Rattus norvegicus: one gene and its partners. The main gene of each other region encodes a partner of the protein of the gene in region 2 in a complex. Links are inferred from orthologs where the notes say so. Each region holds a gene or a part of one and is shown on either strand. Other genes may lie near its edges.

Region 1 (7,892 bases), on a different chromosome or scaffold from region 2:
ATAAGCTAATAATAGATATTATGTTAAATCAAATTCTCTTCTTTCCTTTCCATATGTGTACACATTTTTATCTCTATTTCGAGGACCCTGAAGGGTCTCATAAGGAAGCACAGATTGGCCTCAGAGTCACTGTTCTCCTATCTTGGCCTCCCCAGGGTTGGCATCAGAGGCTTCACATAACCACCTCTTTTGCCCACTGGGTTATTATTCTCTGTGGCAACTCTGTTTATTTGACATTTAAATATTAGAGTATAGAGACCCCTATCATTCATGCCATCAATTTTCAATAATACCCCTACTTCTTCTAAGAGTTATAAGTTCATATGTCTAAATTATTAAACACATTAGCCTTTCAGATAAAAGAGAGCATGGTACAATATATGGTTCATTCTTCAAAATCTTTGACTAAGCAGTCCAGAAATATCTCTATAAGTGCAGATAAACAAGTTTTATACATTTAAACCATCAGAATTAGGTAGATATTTATGTAATTGGAATCTAAACATCTCAATGCAAGTACTTTATATAGCTTATTTATGAAACGTCTTTAGGTGGATTATATATAAACATCTACACAGATTTAATAGTTGAGGTTTTTTATGAGCTAAGTCTTGCATGCCCCAGATAAACCAACTCAATATAGCAGTGGATAGGTACTAGTACACAGTTACTCATTTAATCCTCCAAGTGCTCCTGGTGGTAAGTATGGTTGTCCCATCTTAGCATGAGGACACTGACACTCAGAAAAATTGAGTAATGGGCCCAAGGCCGGCAAGGTTGTCAAACCGGAATTCAATCTCTATTTATACCAGAAAAAAAAATCTGTATTTTGTAGGTCAAATTTATTATCTCAGCAAAGTAATAAGCATCCTGAGAAAGGTTGGGAATACAACTGGATATCTCACCTTGACTCGGGTGAGTCAAGAGGGTGTTGCCACTAGCAACCTGTTTGTCTCCTGGCTGAGACAGGAGGTTTGCTGCAAGTTCAAGTTCAGCTGGGCTATGTATTGAATTCAAGGCTGATCTTGGTCACATAAGATCTCATCTCATGATAAACAAACACATACATGCCACTCTACGAATCACCAAAGAACAACACTTTCAATATATGGAAGATTTGCAAACTTCTAAAGCCCCAATATAGAAAACATGCAAAGATATTAGTAACACATGAACACAGAGTATGACGGTGTTATTTTAAATAATTGAAAATGCATGTGATTCCTACCGGATTTCATTTCCAAAAGAGTATTGGTATCAATTTCATGGTTAGCTTTTCCAGGCTGAGGCACTCGCAGTGGTATGATCTGAGGGGCACACACTGAACCAGCAGTCATGTTCTCTCCTTATATAAAAAGATAGATTTAAAAATTCCATCATGAACCTATTCCCGAACATGAAAACTACAGAGTGCTACGTATTTTAAATGGAGGAAGCCAGTAAAGCCTAAAGAACAGATCATTGATATGCCACCTACAGATAATGCCCCATTTAATGAATGAAATCTTTACATTTTAGCTGTATGTTTGCTCTTGAGGTCTGGAGTTGGATATTCAGCTAAATACTTTACATCTCATAAAGGCAAGCAGTCAAATTCAATAGGAGACTGGAGCTGCTTTAAAAGGGCAGGTTAATGGATGAGGCAGAGCAGAATCCACCACTAATGCTCTGAGCTCACTTCCCTCGAGATCATTCACTCTTCACTGCCTTCAGCAAGGGCACACATACACACTCACTCTCCTGACTTCAAGGCAACTCATTACATAAGGGGAGCGAGTAACTCTGCACATAGCATGAATTATTTAGAGCCAAATCTTAAAAGAAGTTCTAAGCCCCACAGTCTTACCTTTGCCACTGCAGTGTATTGTATTTTGGAAATATACTGCAAAGACTGCAGAGCATCTGTTCGCAATAGAAAGGAAGTTGACATGGCTATAAACCAACAGTTTCCTATTCGCTCTACTGTTTTGTAAATAGCAGTACAGAGACGTTATGGGTCTTTTCACTGAAGTGGGAGGAGTCCTCTTAATCCAGTATTTGCATTTTGCACTGCTGTTTCAATGATTATGGCTACACAATTATTCAATTATAATGTACACATTCATCTTACTTTTATAATCAACATTTTGCATCCTCATTTTTTCCAAGACAAATAATATAATGCCCTGGCTGTCATGGAGCTTGATCTGTAGACCAGGCTGGCCTCCAATTCACAGAGATCCACCTGCCTTTGCCTCTCAAGCGCTGGGGTTAAAGGCATGTGCTACCATGCCTGGCTTACTTAAATTTTTTCATTTAACAATTTGTTGTTCAATGGTGAGGTTATAGTTTTGTTTTTTAAGTTTGGTAGACGGAATTATGATAATGTTGCTGCGAACATCTTTGCGTTTTGACATATCTTGTTCTGGAAAGTGGGATAATTAGATTTAAAAGACGAATTTATGATAGTTCCAGATTGAGGGCCAAGCATAAAAACTACAGCTATCTGACCCTTCATAAATGAGGCTGGTTGTAGAGGGATTTACCAACCTTCACATTTCCCTTCGATTGAGAGTCAATTAAAATAAAGATAGCTGAAAACTAGATTCTAATAAACACCGATGGTTAGAGACTGAGGTGCTCACGGTTAGCTATTAGCTGCTCTTGGAAATCTGGGGTGGTCAATGGACCATCACGAGACAGAGATGGCTGATTCGCTAGGTCCACACTGCAGCCTGGTGTCGGTGTCATGCCACCAGCATCTCCCAGCATCCTTCACCTGAACCAACCTCCTCGCTGCCCAAACCAAGACCCAGACCCGCGTCATGTCCTGGCCTTGCGAGGCAGTCAGAGACGCCTAGATTCCTCCCAACCCAGTGAGAGGTGCCCTTCTCCTCACCTTCCTCCAGCCTCAAGGACAGAGATAAGGACCCCCGACGCACGTCCACTGCCGCCAACCGGGTGTCTAGACTCTCACCGCCTCACGACTGCTCCTCCGCAGCAGCTTGCGTTACCACAGACGCTGCGGACCGCGCCCCGCCCACCAGGAGCCGAGCAGATGATTGGCAAGGAAATCGACTTCCTAGCAACCAGCCCTGCCCTTGTCTCTGGCTGCAGCCTCCGTCTGGTACCCGCCCCCAGCTCCTTCTGCGACACTTTCTTTTAGGTGTCCAAGAATATGCCTTCTCAGCGGCTGGAAGAGACTGAAGAAGGGGACCTCACTCAGCTCACTGGAGCCAGAGGATCTCGTTCGATAGGTACTGAAATTTGGGACAACAGAAAGGACAAGTTGCGGCGACCCTGCTGAGCAAGGCGGAGCAGGCACATCATGGGCGCCCCAAGCCGACCTCATGAAGAAGGCCCGGCGCGACCGAAGGAAGAAGGTCCCTCGTCCCTCCCACGCCCCCACCCCTGGCGTGCGCCTCCACCGGTTCCCGAGAATTCCAGCGCGCTCCTCCGGGCCACTTTTCCTCTAGTCTTGAAAACCACCCTCATGGCGGAGGTGAAGGTGAAGGTGCAGCCGCCGGACGCGGATCCGGTGGAAATAGAAAACAGGTAATGCAGTGAAACTAGGTTCCCGACGCTAGGCGAGCAGTCAGCTGGATAGCTGTACCCCTTCTCTCTCGGTCCCCGGGAGAGGACGGAAGAGGCTAGTTGAGCACGCGGGAGCAGGGTTGACGGCTGTCTGGGAGTCCCCCTCCCGATTAGGGAGAGTAGAACTCTTCAGAAGCTCCAGAGCAGCGTGACAGCTTGAAACTTTATGTAACTGGCTCCTCCGGGGTTCTATTAGAGCACTTGGAACGTGACAGCAGCCAGTGCCAGAAAAAAAGACCTGCATTTTCCCCCTAGTTCTTGGGCATGTGTTCGAATCCAGTATTGCTCGGTTGCCAAGGGAAGTTCTGTGAGAGAACGTTCGGGCCAATTTAGGGTTCAGTTTGTGATTACAAAGAACCATTGAGCCAAGTAGGTTCAGTGAGTGCCTTAACCCCCAGCGCACATGTGTTTTTAGGTTATAATGTAGTTAAAAAGACAACGACTTTCTCAACATTATTATTGTGGGTAGTAAGCTTATTACACCTCCAAACAAATTAATCCTTCCAGTTTGTTTGGAGAAGATAATTTCTCAAACAGACTCCAGTTATGGTGAATCACTATAACCCTCTCTAGACACGCACACGCACAGGAACACGTGCGCATATTCTACATTTGCATTCTGCCCACAGACCTTGGATTCAATTTGCCGTACTTATTCCCATTGATAAAACTGAGATTTTAGCTTAACTATCATGCATCTTCCTTTTTTGCCTTTTAAAACAAGCAAACATAAATCATTAATACCTTTGTTCCTAGAATTATAGAATTATGCCACCAGTTCCCTCATGGAATCACAGATCAAGTAATTCAGAATGAAATGCCTCACATAGAAGCCCAGCAACGGGCAGTGGCCATCAATAGACTATTGTCCATGGTAAGGTGAATTCAACTAATTTATGTAATTTGTTGTATATTATGTATTTCATTGCCTCCTGTCACATAGTTGTGATGTTTAACTTCATGTGTCAACTTGACTGGGCCGTGATACTCCTAGATCTGCCTATATGCTGTTTCTGGGATGTTCTAGAATGTGGTATTTGAATTGCTGTGCTGACTGTAGAAGGTGAGTGGGCCCCATCCAATTAAGTATCAGCCTACGTAGAACAAATGGAGGACAGAAGAACTTACCCCAACCTACTTTGAGTCCCAGGACCAGTCTTCACCACTCTTTGTCCTTAGGCTTTAAGATTCCATCTACACCATGGACTTTTCATCACCGAGGCTAATGCATCAGGTCTGCGACATTGGTGTATGCCCCTGGCCTTCTCGAGTCTCCACCTTGCAGGAGACTTACAAGGATTCTCCCCCACCATAATCGTATGAACTAATGATGGCATAATAAGCCTCTTTTTTTAGTGAGTCAATATACTAATTGTTAGGCCAGAATTTTTGATTTGATTCCAAACCAGGGAAAGGATTAGCATGTTTGAATTGGAAGGAAAGATAATTACGTGCCTGCCATTTGACAAGATGAAGAAGCTGCATGCAATTCTGTTATAACTATGGTATTATCTTCATTGACACAAAAGGGCATGTGGGTGTGGCCTGTTACTTCCTGCTGCTAGCTTTTAGCCATTCCCTATAAAATATTTCCACTGTGGGTTTTTGTTTGGTTTTTTTGGGTTTTTTTTTTTTTTTTTTTTTTTTTGGTGAGTTATCAATAGCCTATTGATTGGGTATCACAGTGTAACTCTGAGCTTTTTAAGAGCAGGAAGAAGTCCCACTGAGGACTTCTTTGGGAAAAAGTACAGGCTTAGCTTCAGAGACAGTGCAGTAGAATTTTCATTGAAACTCAAGAACTTGGAGCCCAAATGCCTCTCTTCCAACTTTTGAAAAATGTCCCACCAGACACTGGCTGATGCTTTGGATCTCCTATATCTCTACTTTCACAAGCCATTTGATTCCTTTTTCCTGAGGACGTTTTGGTTTGGTTTTATTAGTTAAGAGTCTTACACTAGGCCTCTTCTGAATGACTTTTCTTTTTTTTTTTTTTTTTTTTTAAAGATTTATTTATTTATTATATATAAGTACACACTGTAGCTGTCTTCAGATACACCAGAAGAAGGCATCGGATCTCTTTACAGATGGTTGTGAGCCACCATGTGGTTGCTGGGAATTGAACTCATAACCTCTGGAAGAGCAGTCGGGTGCTCTTAACCGCTGAGCCATCTCTCCAGCCCGACTTTTCTTTTCTAAAGCTTTCAACCTGATGTTTTACCTCAAGGCACTAGACACAGATGATAGGGATAGGCAAATCTTTTGTTAAGCCTTTGTCTTCACCTTTGTGGCTCAGAATTTGGCAAACTTCTCTATGAAATAGTAAATAAAATAATTTTTGTGGCCCAACTGGTTTCTGTCACAACTGTATGACTTGTCATTTTAATAAGAAGCAGTCATGAGCTGTGAACAGTGATACATGAACAGGTGGGTGTGGCTTTTCCTCATGAAATTTTATTAATAAAAAAGCAAACAATGGGCCAGTGACTTCTGTTTTCTCCCACAGAAGACAAGTTGGTGATTTATGGGCTTCCATTTTCTGTGTAGAATGACTCCTTGTTATCCTTCAGGACTCCTCTCTGTGTCTATCCCCAGGATACTTGGATACTTGGAGTCCCAGGTTGGGGCCAGTCTCCTCTCTTGACTGTGCATCCACCTTTTTGTCTCTCATAAGCATAGTGTTGTAGTCATCTGTGTGCTTCCCTTTGAGAGTTTGGAATATAGCTCAATGGTAGAACATTCACTTAGCTTGCATAGTATGTTCAGTCCTCCGCCCTATAATTCAACAAGTTGTCCACTTAAACAGCTCTCCCAACAATGGTACAGTACACGTGTTTAGTAATTGACTAGAATAGCCTGAATAAATGACAGAAGGGAACCTCTGAATTGAGTTTTGTGATCCCACTTCGAATTTTATAAAGAAGGGAGAGCGTTGCAGTTTATCCAGTAAGTAAACCTATTTTACATTCTTAACATACAGTAGGGCACCCTACTTGGTTATGGTTCTTGTAATTGCTGAAAATTCAGTACACATATCTGGATTCTCTAGATGCCTAGGCCTAAGGGGGTTCAAAGAGCATGATAAAGTACCACTCCTAGAGACCCTTTGTTCATTTGTTAATCTTTTTGCCTAATTCTCCTATCACAGAGTTAAATTGTATATATTAGTAAAATCATTAAGAACTATAGTTTAACTTAGTATGCTGTTGAATATTCATATTTATGCTTTATCTGGACTAAATTTTTATCAGTACAAATTCTATTTTTAATTATATTTACCCATATTTTACATAATTGGGACTTACTTAGATTTCAATATGGATTTATATATATATTATCCTAAAATAACTTTTTAAAAAAGATTTATTTTTATTTAATGTGTGTGAGTATTTTGCATGCACGTATTGTCCATGTTCTGTATGCATGCCTGGTACTGACAAAGGCCAGAAGAGGACCCTGATCTCCTGGAACTTAAGTTAGAGACTGTTGTGAGCCACATGTGGGTACTGAGAACTGAACCCCAGCTGTTGTTGTAAAAATATAAAAAATAAAAAATGTAAGGTTGTCTTTTATCCCCCTCTAGGTCCGGCACCTCAGTGCCCCAAGATATCTGCTGGATATCTTAATTCTCAGTCAGCAAGCGTCTCACCTGCTCTGCTCCATCCCACATCGCACTGCCGAAGGCCTCTCTCTGAGCCTGGCAGCACTCTCTCTACCTATCTAGCTCCCAAGGCAGGTTTCCATGCCAGAAACACACATCCCAACTCCATGGTGACCCAGACCAGCTGCCCCACACTCTGTTACACTTAAATCTACACACGAAAGAACGTACAACACAATAACCTTTGGCCTAGTTGATAAGATATAATTGCCCACATAAACATACAAAGCCCAGTACACATTCATCCCTTAAAAACATTCGTAACAACCTGTAAAGGTACAGCGTGGAATCTTAACGTCACCCGCCATATTGTCCTGCCACGGCTTCTCTCCCTCTCCCTCCTGTCTCTTCCTCCTTTCCATTCCAGCCTCCTCCTCTTCTTTCAAACTTCTCTCCCGCCCATCCTTCCTTTTCCAATGACAGGCCTCCTTCTATCTTGTACCTGCTTCACCTGTGACATCATCCCACAATTCATCCTTTTTGTCTAATTAAAAAAAACTTTTCTCTCAAATATAAGTTGAGCACAACTATTATCATTTTGTAATTAAAAGCATAAAATATATCTAACACCCAGTCCAACACTCTATCAGTTAAACAGAACATTTAGTTATCCATTCCAGCTTAAGAAAGGCTTAAAATTTATATTATATCTTGGCTAGCT
Region 2 (6,604 bases):
TTGCATGCACAAAGGGCTTGTACAGGAGAAGGCCTGGCTGAACCCTGTGTGCACAGTGTTTTGATGGCCCAGTGCCCTGGGTTGGGGCTTGTTCCTCTGACGAGGCAGTACAACGTACAGGTTAGAGTTTAAAGGGTTTGTTCTTTTTTTCAGATTAGAAAAAGTCTATAATCTCGTAAAAGAAACCATGCCAAAGAAGCCGGATGGACCATCAGGTGTGTGCTTCAAGGCTGGGTGGGCTTCCATCTTGGGCCCTGGCCCAGAAGGGGCCATGTTGTTTTCAAAGTTCATCCTCTCTGTGCTGACCTTTCTTCTGTCTCCACCCTACCACCAAGTTAGCCTATTGCTTGTCCAGCAGGACAGCCTCAGTGGTCTACTCACTCCTACCCCAGGAGGGTACTGTGTCTTTCAGGGCAGAGTGGATTCTGAGACCTGTTGGATCAGCGGGTGGTCTTATAGGAGCTGCTAGAATTACAGCAGGGCTCTGTAATTTTGTGCCCAGTTAGATTTCTCCCCTCAGTTTAGATAGCAAAATTTCTCCTGAGCAAGGAAAGGTGGAAGACAGCACATGATTTCTTCCTTCAGGAGCTGTCTTCTGGTGTCCCCTGCTCTCTGTCTTCATGCTTTGTCTGTCTGAGATCTGTGCCCTTCTGAGCCATATTGTCTGTCTACACAGCGCCTGTTGTCTCTGGGGAACAGCGGGTCCAAACAGCCAAAACCAAGGCCCAGCAGAACCATGCTTTCTTGGAGCGTGAGCTGCAGCGACGGAAGGAGCAGATTCGGGGAACCACAGTCCTGCCCAGCGTGCAGATCAAGGAGGAACCCCTGAGTGAGGAGGAAGCCGATGGGGATGAGCTGGAGGCTGAGGAAGAAGAACCCATGGACACTGCACCCAGTAGTTGCCTCAGCACCAAGTTGGCCAATGGGCTGCCTGCTGGGCGGGCAGTGGGTGGGGACAGCCTAAATGGGCACCCAATTCCAGGCTGTGCCAGCAACCCGGTTGCCCGGGAACTGAAGGCTTTTGTGGAAGCCACCTTTCAGAGACAGTTTGTGCTCACGTTGAGCGAACTCAAGCGCCTCTTCAACCTGCACCTGGCAGGCCTGCCCCCGGGCCACACACTCTTCAGTGGTGTCTCAGACCGAATGCTACAGGATACGGTGCTGGCCGCTGGCTGCAAGCAGATACTGGTGCCTGTAAGTAAAGCCTGTGTCTGCCAGGCCAGGGTCAGTCAGAGCCTTCAGGAGGGCAGCTGGGCAATCTTCACCTTCTTAGGAATCAAGAAGCATGGGGAGAAACCTGTGTGTCTGTCTTAGGGACAGTGGCTCTGAGGCTGCATGTGGATAGGGTACATGTTGTGTTTGTCAGATGGCTTCCTGACCTCATCTGAAGTGGGTGTGTTAGTTTTTCTACCATAGGAAGGTAAGAATATGAGATTCCGCAGGCACTATCAGGGCCTCATTAAACATAAGCCTTTACCTGATTGGTATTTAGTTAGTCTCTAGGGCATGAGTGACACAGCTAGAATTTGAACCTCAGTCTGGAGGCTCTAAGCTTGCTTTCACAGAAGGTAGCTTAGCACTTCCCCACATAGGGAAACCATGGCTTCCCTGGCCTTTAGGCTCTTTGACCATATAAGCTCCAGCCTCTGCAGTAGGCATCGAGGTGGTGAATGAGCCTCCTCTACTTCAGGTCCTTCCGTCCCATGGAGTGGGCTCCACAGTGGGGCCAGAGACTGTTGCCTTTGATGGAAAGGAGTGTTTGGGTACAGTGTGAAGGAAGCTGCGTGGCTCATTCCTAGGCTCTAGCCAGCCCAGGAAGCAAATCAGCTAGGACAGAAGGGAGGTGACTATGCTGTCTTATAGATAGGGAGTATACCGTGTGCAGCACCAAGCTCACACGCACCTGTGCCTAGCCTAGGACGATGCTTAGGCCAAGGCCCTGCCTCTGTGTGTAAGGAACAAGACAAGAGGCTCTGTGGCCCCCTGTTGGTGGAATTTCCTTGCCAAGGTTTGCTTTTGTAAGATGCTGGCATTGGGTTCCTGGCTACCCTAAGTGCAGCCAGTATTCTACAGGCCTACTTTTCTGTGTACTGGGCAAGAAAAGGATACTAGCCTGGTAGAAGTGGGATTGCCTAGGCTACCCACATGGATGGAGGATGAGGAACCTTCTATGAAAGTGGTGCTCTTTCCTGCCCACCTCAGAATTTCCTTGGCCATGCTCCTTCCTCTCAGAAGTGCTGGCATCTAGAGAACATCCCAGGCTTGTGTGGAGCAGTTTGACCCCAAGGGCCATATTCATAGCATGTCCAAGAAGAAAAGGCAAGTTAAAGACCCGAGTTTAACTTGTGATTTACTACTCTGAGCTAAGTACCTGTAGACAGTGAACAGCTCTGAACTTGATATGGCGAATGGGCAGGGCAAGCGACGCCTCAGTGCTGCTCAAGTCCTGTGCCAGTCTTTATGTGTTAGTGAGCACTAGTACCAACTACAGAAAGGAGGCTATAGGCACAATGCTGGCATTTTCCCTGATCTTTTTAAGTGCCAGGACTGTCATCCTCTGGTTGCCCCTGAAGCAAGTGGTATAAAAGGCTTGGGAGTCTGCCAACATCCTGTTTTAGCCACACTTCTTATGCTGCCCTTGTGGGAAACAGCTGACCGGAAGCCCTGAGGAATGCTAGGGAAGAGGAGACTTTAGAGTAGAAGTCCAGGTAGATGCCTCAAAGCAGCATCACACACACTAATGCCATCCCAATACCTGTTGTCGCACTGTCATCTCAGAGCCAGTGAGTGGGAGAACTAGGCTTCGACCGCTCTTGCCTAGGGCTGGGTTGCAGGCTAGGTGGGTTGAAGTGGGCAGGGCAGCAGATCACAAGGCAGAGAAATGACCAGCTCATGCTTGGGCCAGTTTCCCCCACAGACTGCTGCTTCCCCTGATGAGCAGAAGGTATTTGCCCTCTGGGAGTCTGGAGACATGAGTGACCAGGTGAGGTGCCTTTTTTTTTTTTTTTTTTTTTTTTTTTTTTTGTCGTCTTTCTTTTTTAAGAGCGGGAGTCCTAGAAGGTTGAGGCTATTAGAATCTTGACACTAGAGTATAGTTGGACATGTCAGGTTTTCCAGTCACTCCAAGATAGGCCATGTGTGCCAGTGGTTTGCCCCTGAACTTGGGTGGATGTCTGTCGAATTAGAACAGTATCACCTTTGAAAAGATGACTGTTTCCAGCAGTATGGTGGCCTCACTCTGAGCTTTAGAGCTCTATGATAGTGATGCAGGCAGGCTTGGAAACCACGTGCAGAGGAGAGTTCTCAGTGGCTTTTTTATTAGCTGTCTTAAACCTGGAGTTTGGTTATTTTGTTCTGCGATCCTGTCTCCAGTGTTTGGGTAGTTCAGCTCTGGGAAAGAGCTGAGGTCCAGATGCCTTTAAATCATGAACTTGCCTGAATTCCAAAGATTAAAGTGTTTTGGTTTTAGCAGACATGCCAGTCAGGTTGAGACAGGAGTGAATCCTGTTGAAGCCTGTTTCCCTTTTACTTGCCAGGGGGACAGGAAGGCTGAGAGCAAGAGTGGGTATGAGGCCTCGCTTCTAACAGGAGTCCTGAAGTGACCCTGTTTTTGGCCAAGAAAGGTAGCTTGAGGCTTTCCTACTTAGCTTCTCAGATCACTAAGGGAAAAAAAGTAGTAAGTTCATTTAAAACTGAACAGGGCCTAAAGAACTGTGGGGAAGCTGACTCTGCCCTCAGAGGTGACCGATTGTTTGTGACTGTGAGCCGATCAGTGGTTACCACATGCTAGTGCACAGAACATGTTCATGCTGCAGTTACTGCTTCCTCTCCAACATGTGGGGCTAGAGAGCCAGCTCAGGCCTTCAGGCACCTTCTCTGCTGAGCCATCTCACCGCTCACTTCCTCTGTGCACTAGTCTGCTGTTCTGACCCCAGCAGACCAGCAGCACGACTCCTGTGGAATGTGAGGACACTGCTTCTCCATGTGTGGCTCTTCCTGTGTCTAGAGTCTTAGCCTCTGATGGGATATCGACAGCGTTCTTTCTTTCTGCCCTCAAGTACTGCTGGTACTAATAGAACTAAAATTTTACAGGGCAAATAATTTCCCCCCGTTAGGAAGAGGGTATCGTAATCATTTCAAAGTTGAAATTCAGTGATACTCTTCTCGTGAGATCTTCCCTTAACTGCAAACTGCATGGCGTATATTGTTCCCTACACTGGTAGGACCTTGATGTATTCTGAATTCTTTATTTACTAGACAGTTGGGCTCTTAGAGAATCCTGTAGGCTGATAAATTTCTTTACCTTTTTGAATCCTTATAGACATTTGAGCTATTAAACCTACTAGATGTCGTCTTTGCCCATTTTTTGAGACCAGAATTTTTCACTGTAGCCCTGACTGGCCTTGAACTCATGCTGATGCCCCTTTCCCAACAGGGATTGTGAGGTGTGTGTGAGTCATCACCCTCTGCAGTCAGTTTTCATTCTTCCCTTCTGTTTTGAGGATGGCCTTATTTGTCCTCTGCTATTTAATGTCTCTTTAGGAGTTTGGTGCATTTTCCAGTTTCCTGGATTCAGTGTTATGCTTGTGTCTAGACTTTGAACCAATTTAGATACCTTTCCCCCACCCAGTCTAAACTAGATGCTTCTGCTCACTTCCTTGTATGTCCAAACTGCTCATCCTGAGTTCCTTCACTGAAGTCTGCAACAGTGACCAATAGGTCGGTCTTGCTAATCTTTAACCAGGAGTGCTAAGCCACTAGACACTGCAAGGTGGGGCCAGCGCCATCATTTTGGATCTTTTGTTTGGGGATAGTTCACATTTGGGATACTATCACTATCGAACTAACACTTTTTTTTTTTAAATTAAATAAAGCATCGACAGGTTTTGCTTGAAATATTTTCCAAAAATTACCGAGTACGTCGGAATATGATCCAGTCTCGGCTGACTCAAGAATGTGGAGAAGAGCTAAGCAAGCAGGAGGTGGATAAAGTGCTAAAGGTATGTCCATTGTGCACAAGATGTCACGCAGAGCATCTAGGCTGTGACTTTGACCTGTTGTTTTAAGGACACACATACGTGGAAAGGTTGTGTCTGGTATCTTTGTTCCCGCTGTGTATATAGTAAATCAGAACAGCTTAGCCCTAGTGCCCACCAGTCTGATGGCCATCAACTGGCAGTGACTAGCACTGGTACCCTGGCAGGAAAGTGAGCCTTTTCATGCCGCAGAGTTGGACTGGGTATGAGGAGGTGTACATCATCTTGCACCCACTTGTATAATTGACAGTACAATCTTTTTTTTAATTTTAATTAAAAAAGGAATACTGGGGGTTGGGGATTTAGCTCAGTGGTAGAGCGCTTGCTAGGCTGGGTTTGGTCCCCAGCTCCGAAAAAAAAGAAAAAAAAAAAAAAAGGGATACTGCCTGGCACTGGTGGCGCACACCTTTAATCCCAGCACTCAGGAGGCAGAGGCAGGCAGATCTGAGTTTGAGGCCAGGCTGATCTACAGAGTGAGTTGCAGGACAGCCAGGGCTACAGAGAGAAACCGTGCCTCCAAACAACAACGACAAAGAGGAGTTTCTGTTTGCTTAATGTGAAAACACTTTGAATGCTCTCATGAACTGTGTGCATTGTAGAGGTGGGCACAGAAAGCCACTGCCCCATTCCCTGTTACCTTTAGTCATGTAGACAATAGGCCTTATTAATATGTCCCTTGTCGTAGTCAACTTGAAAAGTTTTTTTCTGTTGATACAGCAAAATCTGTAACACATCTTAAAATGTCCCTGAGGTATGGTGGCTGGAAACCCGATAGGGTCAAAGCGGCTACCCAACAGCACACTTAGGCAGGTTTTGATGTCCTGTTTGCACTCTGTCCGCTAATCGTGAGTCAGGCTGTGACAGCAATAGCTCTCTCCTGCCGGAACCTGCCCTTACCCAGTTTTCTTAATTTCTAGGACTGTTGTGTAAGCTGTGGTGGCATGTGGTACCTTAAGGGGACAGTACAATCCTGACAATAGTAGCAAACCACTAACTCAACGAACCCAAGCCCAGGGAAGGACGGCAGAGCCACACGTAGTCTCGACTTGCCTCAAGACACAGGAAGAGGATCTGCCCACCTGGTGGCCTGTGGCACTGCCTGGCCCAGAGGACAGAGGGGCTCACACTCAGCCAGTGGCAGGGTCAGCGTAAGTGAGATCGCTCCCAACAGAGACCAGCCGGGCCTTCTTTGCAGTACAATTTGAAATTCCTGATGTATTTTGCTTATTGGGTTTCATTCTCATAATAAAGAGAGTGTACACTGACATGGGCAGGATTATGAAAATCATGGTTTAATATTTTCCTCTTTTAAATGAATGCCAACATAGTTAAAGTTATGTTTACAAGATGAAGAGAACCTTAAGGTTTTTAATATTTAAAATGCCTAGAAGCTAATAATTAGTCTTAGAGTTTCTCTCTGCTAAGACTTCTGCCAATTTTATTAAACCAAATTGAACATTTTACTGTTGGGTTTCTAAGGCCACTTTACCTTATACAGCAGCCTGCTTTCTGTAGCGGTCTCAACTGTTTACACAGACCATAGCAAACATTCTATTAACTCCATCGTC
Region 3 (7,892 bases), on a different chromosome or scaffold from region 2:
AAATTTTCCTTCACCAGATACTTGTATTGTTTAATTTATAGTACTTGTAAAAGAGAACTCTGAAGAACAACTTTATTTGCTATTTTAGTCATGTACTCATATTTTGAGAATGTTCAAGGGAAACAATACATTGAGCATTTGCTTTAATTAGCATGAATCTCATAGAGATTCATACTCGTATAAATGTTCATATAGAGAACCTGTATGTCAGTAATAAATCTGAATGCTGAGGTTTGAGACTTAACTGAAAACTGAACATAAGGCATTGGTGAACTAGTGATAGAAACAGGGAGGTAATGATGTCATGGAGACAGAACAGATAAGGAACAGCAAGAATTGTTAGACTTTCGGGGTCAGTGGCACAGAGTGGTAAAGGCATTTGGGTTGGGAGCTCCTGGCCAATCTGGGCTTCATGTAGGATCCTGTTTCAGAAAACAAGAAAAGCAATCACAAGAAGGCTTTTTTTTCCTGAAAGGTTTGGGTTTGCTTTTTGTTTTGGTTTTTTGTTTTGTTTTGTTTTGTTTTTTGGTCACTTAAGATCGGATAGGTCAAGGGTCTGTGGTGAAGGTGAGGATCAAGGAAGGGCTGAGGCCTGGAGGTGGTGAATGATGTTATCCATTCCAGTGTGTTGTAAGTGCCCCCATGTTAGAAACATAGATGAATACATTTGTGTCTCAACAATGTTAGAGTTTACTAAATAAGTTCACAAGGTGTATTAGTCAGGGTTCACTAGAGTCACCCAGTTTATGGAATGTCTCAATATATTAAGGGGTTTATTGTAATGACTTACAGCCTGTAGTCCAACTAACCCAACAGTGGGAAGCCCAAGAATCTAGTAGTTGCTCAGTCCCACAGGCTAGGTGTTTATGCTGGTCTTCCATAGAGTGAGTTCCAACAGATGTGCTGCTGCGAAGAAGAGTGAATCTTCCTTCTTCCAATGTCCTTACGTGTGGCCTCCAGCAGACGGTGTGTACCACCGCGCCTGGATCTGAAACTTGTTTTGTCCCACGATGACCTTGAATTTAGAGATCTGCATCTTCTGGGATTAAACGTGTGTGTGTGTGTGTGTGTGTGTGTGTGTGTGTGTGTGTGGACTTGTTTTGTCCCACGATGACCTTGAATTTAGAGATCTGCATCTTCTGGGATTAAACGTGTGTGTGTGTGTGTGTGTGTGTGTGTGTGTGTGTGTGTGTGTGAGAGAGAGAGAGAGAGAGAGAGAGAGAGAGAGAGAGAGAGAGAGAGTGCGCTACCTAACCTGAACCTAAGCTTTTTGTGGTCAAGATCCAGGTCAGAAACCGGTCTTCCAGTCTCAGGGTCTGGATCACAGGTGTGCCCTCACATTTCTGGATTGTAGTTCATTCCAGATGTAGTCAAGTTGACAACCAATAATAGCCATCACACAGCTGTGTATATCCATTTACTATGGAGGGTTTTGCAGACAAAAAGAAAATCTGAGGCTTTACAAAAAGCAGTTCCCTTTGATATTCTAAGGAGGCAACAATGTGATAGTCTCTGTGGCTGCCTGGGGCACATCGCCTCTGACTTTCAACTTTATTTTCTGGATCATCCTGTGAGGGATGTTGTTGAAGTCCTGTTCTGGGCATGGGTTGTAGTTTGCATTCTTCACACTTCTGTCAAGAATCCTTGCAAAGATAATGATGGGTCTCCCACCTGTACTGAGCTGCTTCTCAGTTCCTAGTAAAATAATGATCAGAGCCCCTAAATTATCCCCCCAAGAATCCCTCAAAGAAACATGCAGAGTTAACCAACAGAGACTTGAGCTGGGGCTCCATGCTTTAGCCTCTTCACCTGCAAATATTTGGGAACAAGGAGACACAAGTGACTAGGAAAAGTGTGCATGTGTTGCGCATGGGCCTCCAGAATCTACATGGTAGACCTCAGGCTATTACTGGAATACCTACCATCCAGCTGTTTTAGATCAGCTCTTCAGGACTAAGGTTGGAAGCTGGAGGTTCATTGTTGCAGGCTTTTTCTTTATCATACCATGAACTCTGGGATTGTGTTTACTGGAAAAACCTGTTTCTAGTTGTGGTGTGACTCGGCCCTTGGCACACAACCTTTAATCCCGCTGGCTGGAATACAGACACGCCCTTAGAATGCTCCTTTAATGCCCAACAATGAAGGTCAGGTTAGATTGTAGAAGGTATCACCCATATTTGAAAATGATGTCTAGGGCTGGAGATATGGCTCAGTGGTTCACTGACTGTTCTTCCAGAAGTCCTGAGTTCAAATCCCAGTAACCACATCTCATCTCGTCTGTAATGAGATCTGATGCCCTCTTCTGGTGTGTCTGAGGATAGCTACAGTGTACTTTAAATAAATAAATCATTTTTTTTAAAAGTGATGTTTGAGTGTCCGACAAAGTGGGGAATTAGAGAGTTTTTTTTTTGTTTTTTTTGTTTTGTTTTGTTTTGTTTTTTTGTACAGAATAGGGTATGCCCAACTCTCATGAGAGAGAAGGAGGCAGTTTTCCTGGGACAGTTTTTACAGAGAACAAACTAGACACAGATGAAGACAGAATGTGCCAGAAGATTAGAACAGATTGTCAAAGTTAGTATGAGGCCAAGCAGAGCAATTGAGGAAAGGCTGAGAGAGAGAAGCCAAATTCAATCAGTTTGAGCCGGAACAGCTGAGTTGAACCAGCCAACCAGCGCTCAGAACTAGAAGGGGTGCGCTTATTCCGCAGTGAGTCTCAGAAGCTGAAAACCTTCTAGGCCTGAATTAGATTTTACAGAGGGTAGAAGTTTCCAGGCCTAGATACTGCAGCTCAGCAGCACCTCATCACCCAGTCCGGCTCACCACCATCAGGCTCCCCAGGTGCTGCCATCTGCCGGCACCATTAGTTTGCGTTTCAGCTAGGGAGATGTGCGCACGCGCAGAAGCTACACGGACAGCGAGTGCAGACAGCATGCAATTGGCTGGATGGGGAAGGGTCATCGGCGGTGACCAATGGCATGCGCGAGGCTGCCCGCCGCAGTGCCTACCGGGAACGTGTTGCCGATCGCCGGTTGCCCGTAACGGAGGAAGGGAGACGGCTTCAGATTGGGCGCCTGAACCTCGGCAGCGCCACACAGAGCCGCCGTGTGGGAGCTGAGCAATGCTGCTGTTCTGCCCGGGCTGCGGGAACGGCCTCATTGTGGAGGAGGGGCAGCGCTGTCACCGCTTCGCCTGCAACACGTGCCCGTACGTCCATAACATCACCCGCAAGGTGAGGTCCACAGGCCGGAGCTCTCCCTGCGGTCCGCGGGGCCCAGGGCAGGCGTCGGCGCGCTCGGACCTCCCCGCTGCCCGCTCAGAAATTGTGCGAATTTTAGTTCATCCCCCTACGCTGGACCTCGCAGATTCCAGTCCGCTCCTCACCTCTGATTTCAAATCCTCGGGTTCTTTAGTTGCTCGTTTGCTCCCATCCCCTATCTTGATTCCTGAGAATCTTCTTGCACGCAGTGCTGTCAGGTTCTTCCCTCCGCCCGAGTCGGTCTTCCCTGAATAACTACGCAGAGTGACGCACTTCTCGTTCTCGTCTCCCTCTTCCCCCGTCTCTGGTGCATGTGTGCCTCCCTGTTTCTCTCTCCCTCTCCTCTTTTAAAATAATGGCTGCCTTATTTAAATGTCAGCCCGTGCGGCTGTTTGTGCACCTATAATTCTAGCACTCGGCAGGAGAATAGGTTCAAGGCTCATCTGGGCTGCATAGCACACACAGAGCACAGAAAAGCCAAACCCAGTTCTTTCTGTTTATCCTCATTCCCTTAAGGTTTTCACAGAATTCATTGTCTTCTAATGTTTTATATCGTTGTTGCTACTTTGTGTGTGTAGTGCTTGTGTTGGAACCCAGCAAGCTGTGTTTCCAGCCCTCGGTGTTTTGTGTACCTTAATTCCCGTTCCTCTTTACCTCCGTGCCTTAGTTCAGTGACTGCAGTTGTGCAGCACTGGGCCTTGGTGACTCCTCGTTCCTAATGTTTGCACATTAGAGCTGTGTGGTAGGGGTTTAGAGTCAGGATTTGTGGTAAGATGAATTGTGACAGAATTTCTAATTTCCAGGGATGCCTGATAAACATAGGAAAGCATCCAAATGTGACCTGGGGTGCTGGTATACCCAGCTAAGTGACTTCATTTGTCTGTCTTTCCTGTTGGATTATTAGGTGTCCTAGGGGTATGAGAGAAGAGCAAGGTTTTACTAGGCTGTTTTTTCCTTTCAGTTCTGTCTGGTGTTTCCTTCGGTCTCTAGAGGTCTGAACCTCTAGAACCTCTGTTCTGTTTGGAGGAACATCCGAGTCACAAAACCCCTACATTTTAGTGACTCACACTGCTCTTTGAAGAAGACAAATTTTGTAGAGGAAATGCTGGAGGGAGTTGTGGCTTAGTGACCGACTTGTAAAACTGTACAATTACTTCCAATCTGGTGGCTTGTGTCTGTTAGGTAACAAACCGAAAGTATCCAAAGCTAAAAGAAGTGGATGATGTGCTTGGTGGAGCAGCTGCCTGGGAGAATGTGGACTCTACTGCAGGTGAGGATTTTCCCGTAACAGAGCCAGTGACTCAACCTTGTTTGTTATTACTTATTATTATATTTTATATTTATATTGTTTCGCTAGTTTGTGTGTGTGGTGCTTGTGTTGGAACCCAGAAAGCTGTATTTCCAGCCCTCGGTGTTTAATACTAATAATAAACTTAGTATTATAATGCAGTCCTGTCTGTTATTAGGGCCAGCAAGATACCCTGGTAAAAGCACTTGTTGCCAGATCTGTTAGCCTGAGTTTGATTCTTGGAGCCCAGATAGTAGGAGAGAACTGACTCATGGGAAGATTTTGTACCACCCTCCATGCACACATGGGCGTGCACAAGTGTAAAAGAACTTAAGAAGATGTAAATAACAATGTAATATCAAATAGCTAGTGCATGAAATATTTTGGTGATGTGTTTTAATTACAGTGTAGGCACTCTAAAGTCTTTTACATTTTTGTTGTTGTTAATTGATTTTGTTTTTTTGAGACCTGGTTTCACTGTGTAGCTCTGAGTGTCTTGACCTCGGAGATCCACCTGTCTGCCTCCCACATGCTGGTACTAAAGTATCTGCCACTGACACCTGGCTGTAATAACATTTTTTTAAAAGTAGATTCTTTCAAGGATTCTTTAAAGCAAAGTTACTATAGTGATACCTGAACCGTTGTTTCATTTAGAGTCTCAAGTCCGATGTGGACAAGTATAATTAAAAAATAAATCTGGCAAATATTCTCTTTTTGAAGCAAATTTAGAGTTCATTACAAAAAATTTCAGCATTGATTTATATATAGTTGTTGGGAAGGGGGGATCCATGCTCTAGTGGGTGTGGACTTCTCATGAAAATTGTGTTGTATGTATTTTCAAATACCAACACTGAGAAAATGATCAGCCCTAGTCTTTTATTTTCATTTCGTTTTATTTTTTATTACATGGATTTAAAAAAATTATAACTGTGGACGAAGGATGGTTGCTCAAGCTTATGATTCCAGTTACGATTCTGGTGCTCTCTGAGTGGAGGCAGAAGGCTCAGTGCTTATCTGGGCTTTTTGAGACCCTGGCTCAGCCATTCTGTCAACCGATAAATAGCTGTGGGGTAGGATTTCAGTGGTTGAGAGCATGGGACTGGGTTTCCTTCCCAACTTCCACCTGGCAGCTCAGACCTTCTGTACTTGTACTTTCAGGTGATCTAATACCCTCTACTTGCATCCAGGGACACTGCATGAACGTGGTGCACAGACTACCCAAAGGCAAAACATGCACATAAAATAATTATAAAAAATTAGGGGGGGGGGTTGATATTTGCAACTGGAGGTATTAAAAAGTAAATGTTTACATCTTGATTTGTTTGATAAATTTAAATGTGATAATGGAATGAGAGAAAATGGCCTAGTACCTCTTTTAGAAGGACGAGCACATGTGTGATTGGCAATCTTTTCCTCTGTAGAGGAATATCCAGATCTCCTCTGTTGTCATTAGCTAGGGACGGTAGCACAGCTGAGCGATGGAGACAGGAAGATCATCTCAATCTTATTTTAGCTACTGAGTGACTTTGAGGCCTTTATGTGTTTGTTTTAAGCTATTTGTTTATCTTTAGGATAGAATCTTGCTGTGTATTCCAGGCTGGCTTTGTTGCAAGCTTCTTACTTCAGTTTCCCAAGTGCTAGATTCTGGCCGCCGGCTACCTCAGTGGGCTGTGTTTTTGTTACATTCCCACAAAGGAGACAATAACAGACCCTTCCCAGGCTATTTCCAGCCATTCAACCAGATTTGAGAAGGGAAGTGGAACCCAGGGATGGAAGGGGAGGGGGTTCAAAAAGACCTTAAGCCTCTACTCATTTTCAAATTTCAGGACTTTTGTTGCTTTTATAAAACAAGGTCTCTCTGGTCTCCTTGTTGATGTGCTGTGGAAAGGGTGTTGCTATTGGCAACCTCGCCTTTGGCAGAGGAGTGTAGATGAGCATGAGGATGAAATGTTTGCCCACATTTAACAGTGTTTGTAATGTGGAAACTTGCTTTTCTGTTTGCCAGAGCCATGTCCAAAATGTGAGCATCCTCGTGCCTACTTCATGCAGCTTCAGACCCGTTCTGCGGACGAGCCAATGACCACCTTCTATAAGTGCTGCAATGCTCAGTGTGGACATCGCTGGAGGGATTAGGGCCGGACTTGCCTAGCTGTGAGCATGATTTCTGTGTGCTGAAGGTCTTTACTGTATGGTAGGAAGCCGATCTTCTGTGGTGAAGGACCTGGGTGAATAGAGCTCATCTGCAAGTTAGCGGCTCTCAGGTCCTTGGGAGCTCCACGCAAGGATGTCACTTGGCTCAGGTCCTGGTCCTACATTCGAACTTGGAACTTGGGTTTTAGCCAGTCTTTTTTGTTTTTTAGTTTTTCAAGACAGGTTTTCTCTGTGTAGTCCTTGCGCTGCCCTTGCTGTGTAGACCAAGTTGACCTTGAACTCATTATCCACCTCCCTCTGCCTCTGGAGTGCTGGGTGCCACCACCGCCCATGATGATCTTGACCCTCCTACATATGAACCATTTTCATTCTGTGCAGTGCAGGGATTGAACTCTGAGCCTCATGCATGCTAGATAAGTACTGGCTGTATCTCTAGCCCTGATTTTTTTCTTTTTAGAGAAATTGTGAAAATACTTATAAACATACTGAAAGTCACTTTAAAATTCTGGAATTACATGATTCACCTTGTATGATTAATAAACAATACTATTCTGTGAGTTGGACTTTCTGGATGATTTTGATAGGAATTTAAAAGTAGCCATAAGCATGAAATCCTCTACCAAAGAAGAGTAACAAACCACTCATGGTATTACTCCATAAGGTGGACGTATTTATATGTGAGAAGTTCCATTCTGTGCAGCTGGACAGTCGTACGCACGATGAGGAATGTACGTAGTAAGGAGATCTAAAATAACAGATTCCTCCCTTGCATAGCTGATGTCTTCAAAATCAGTATTTTAAACTGCTACCCAAGGGTGGCACAGATGTGCAGAGGCATTACCTTGGGGTTTTCCACCAGGCCTCTTTGTTCCCCAGAATAACAGCTCTGAGACTTAATTATATTTATGAGTAAATGTTTAGGCTTGAGCCTGTTCCCCAACTAGCACATAACTTAATTGCCCTGTTTATTCTAAGTCCTACCACACGGCTGGTTACCTGGTCCTCAGTTTAATGCAACCATCTTCTGTGTCCAGGTGAATTTCTCATGTCTGATTATTTATCCCAGAATTCCTCTCACCCTCTGCGTCAGATGTCCCATCTTCTATTTCCTCGTTCACTCATTGCCCATAGGCTTTTAATGACAAGTGAATGCTTTTCCACTGTGCACAAGAGATTCTCTCTACAGAGACGGAAGCT

What was found.
Region 1: Polr3e (region 2) and Polr3f share a complex: the UniProt entries of both Homo sapiens proteins name them as parts of the RNA polymerase III complex. The link is inferred for Rattus norvegicus from reciprocal best matches to the Homo sapiens genes POLR3E and POLR3F.
Region 3: Polr3e (region 2) and Polr3k share a complex: the UniProt entries of both Homo sapiens proteins name them as parts of the RNA polymerase III complex. The link is inferred for Rattus norvegicus from reciprocal best matches to the Homo sapiens genes POLR3E and POLR3K.

Annotation. Positions count from the first base shown.
Region 1 is NC_086021.1:152,358,537-152,366,428, forward strand, and holds the start of Polr3f (DNA-directed RNA polymerase III subunit RPC6), read left to right. Parts: upstream 1-3,261; 5' UTR 3,262-3,307; coding exon 3,308-3,534; intron 3,535-4,329; coding exon 4,330-4,447; intron 4,448-7,892. Other genes in the region: Dzank1 (double zinc ribbon and ankyrin repeat-containing protein 1), read right to left, coding at 1,229-1,337. UniProt on the Homo sapiens protein: DNA-dependent RNA polymerase catalyzes the transcription of DNA into RNA using the four ribonucleoside triphosphates as substrates.
Region 2 is NC_086019.1:184,918,812-184,925,415, forward strand, and holds part of Polr3e (DNA-directed RNA polymerase III subunit RPC5), read left to right. Parts: intron 1-153; coding exon 154-215; intron 216-676; coding exon 677-1,194; intron 1,195-2,905; coding exon 2,906-2,983; intron 2,984-4,874; coding exon 4,875-5,000; intron 5,001-5,953; coding exon 5,954-6,010; 3' UTR 6,011-6,604. UniProt on the Homo sapiens protein: DNA-dependent RNA polymerase catalyzes the transcription of DNA into RNA using the four ribonucleoside triphosphates as substrates.
Region 3 is NC_086021.1:189,357,295-189,365,186, forward strand, and holds Polr3k (DNA-directed RNA polymerase III subunit RPC10), read left to right. Parts: upstream 1-3,054; 5' UTR 3,055-3,118; coding exon 3,119-3,229; exon of another isoform or gene 3,230-3,231; intron 3,232-4,438; coding exon 4,439-4,526; intron 4,527-6,549; coding exon 6,550-6,677; 3' UTR 6,678-7,252; downstream 7,253-7,892. UniProt on the Homo sapiens protein: Core component of RNA polymerase III (Pol III) which synthesizes small non-coding RNAs using the four ribonucleoside triphosphates as substrates. Can mediate Pol I proofreading of the nascent RNA transcript.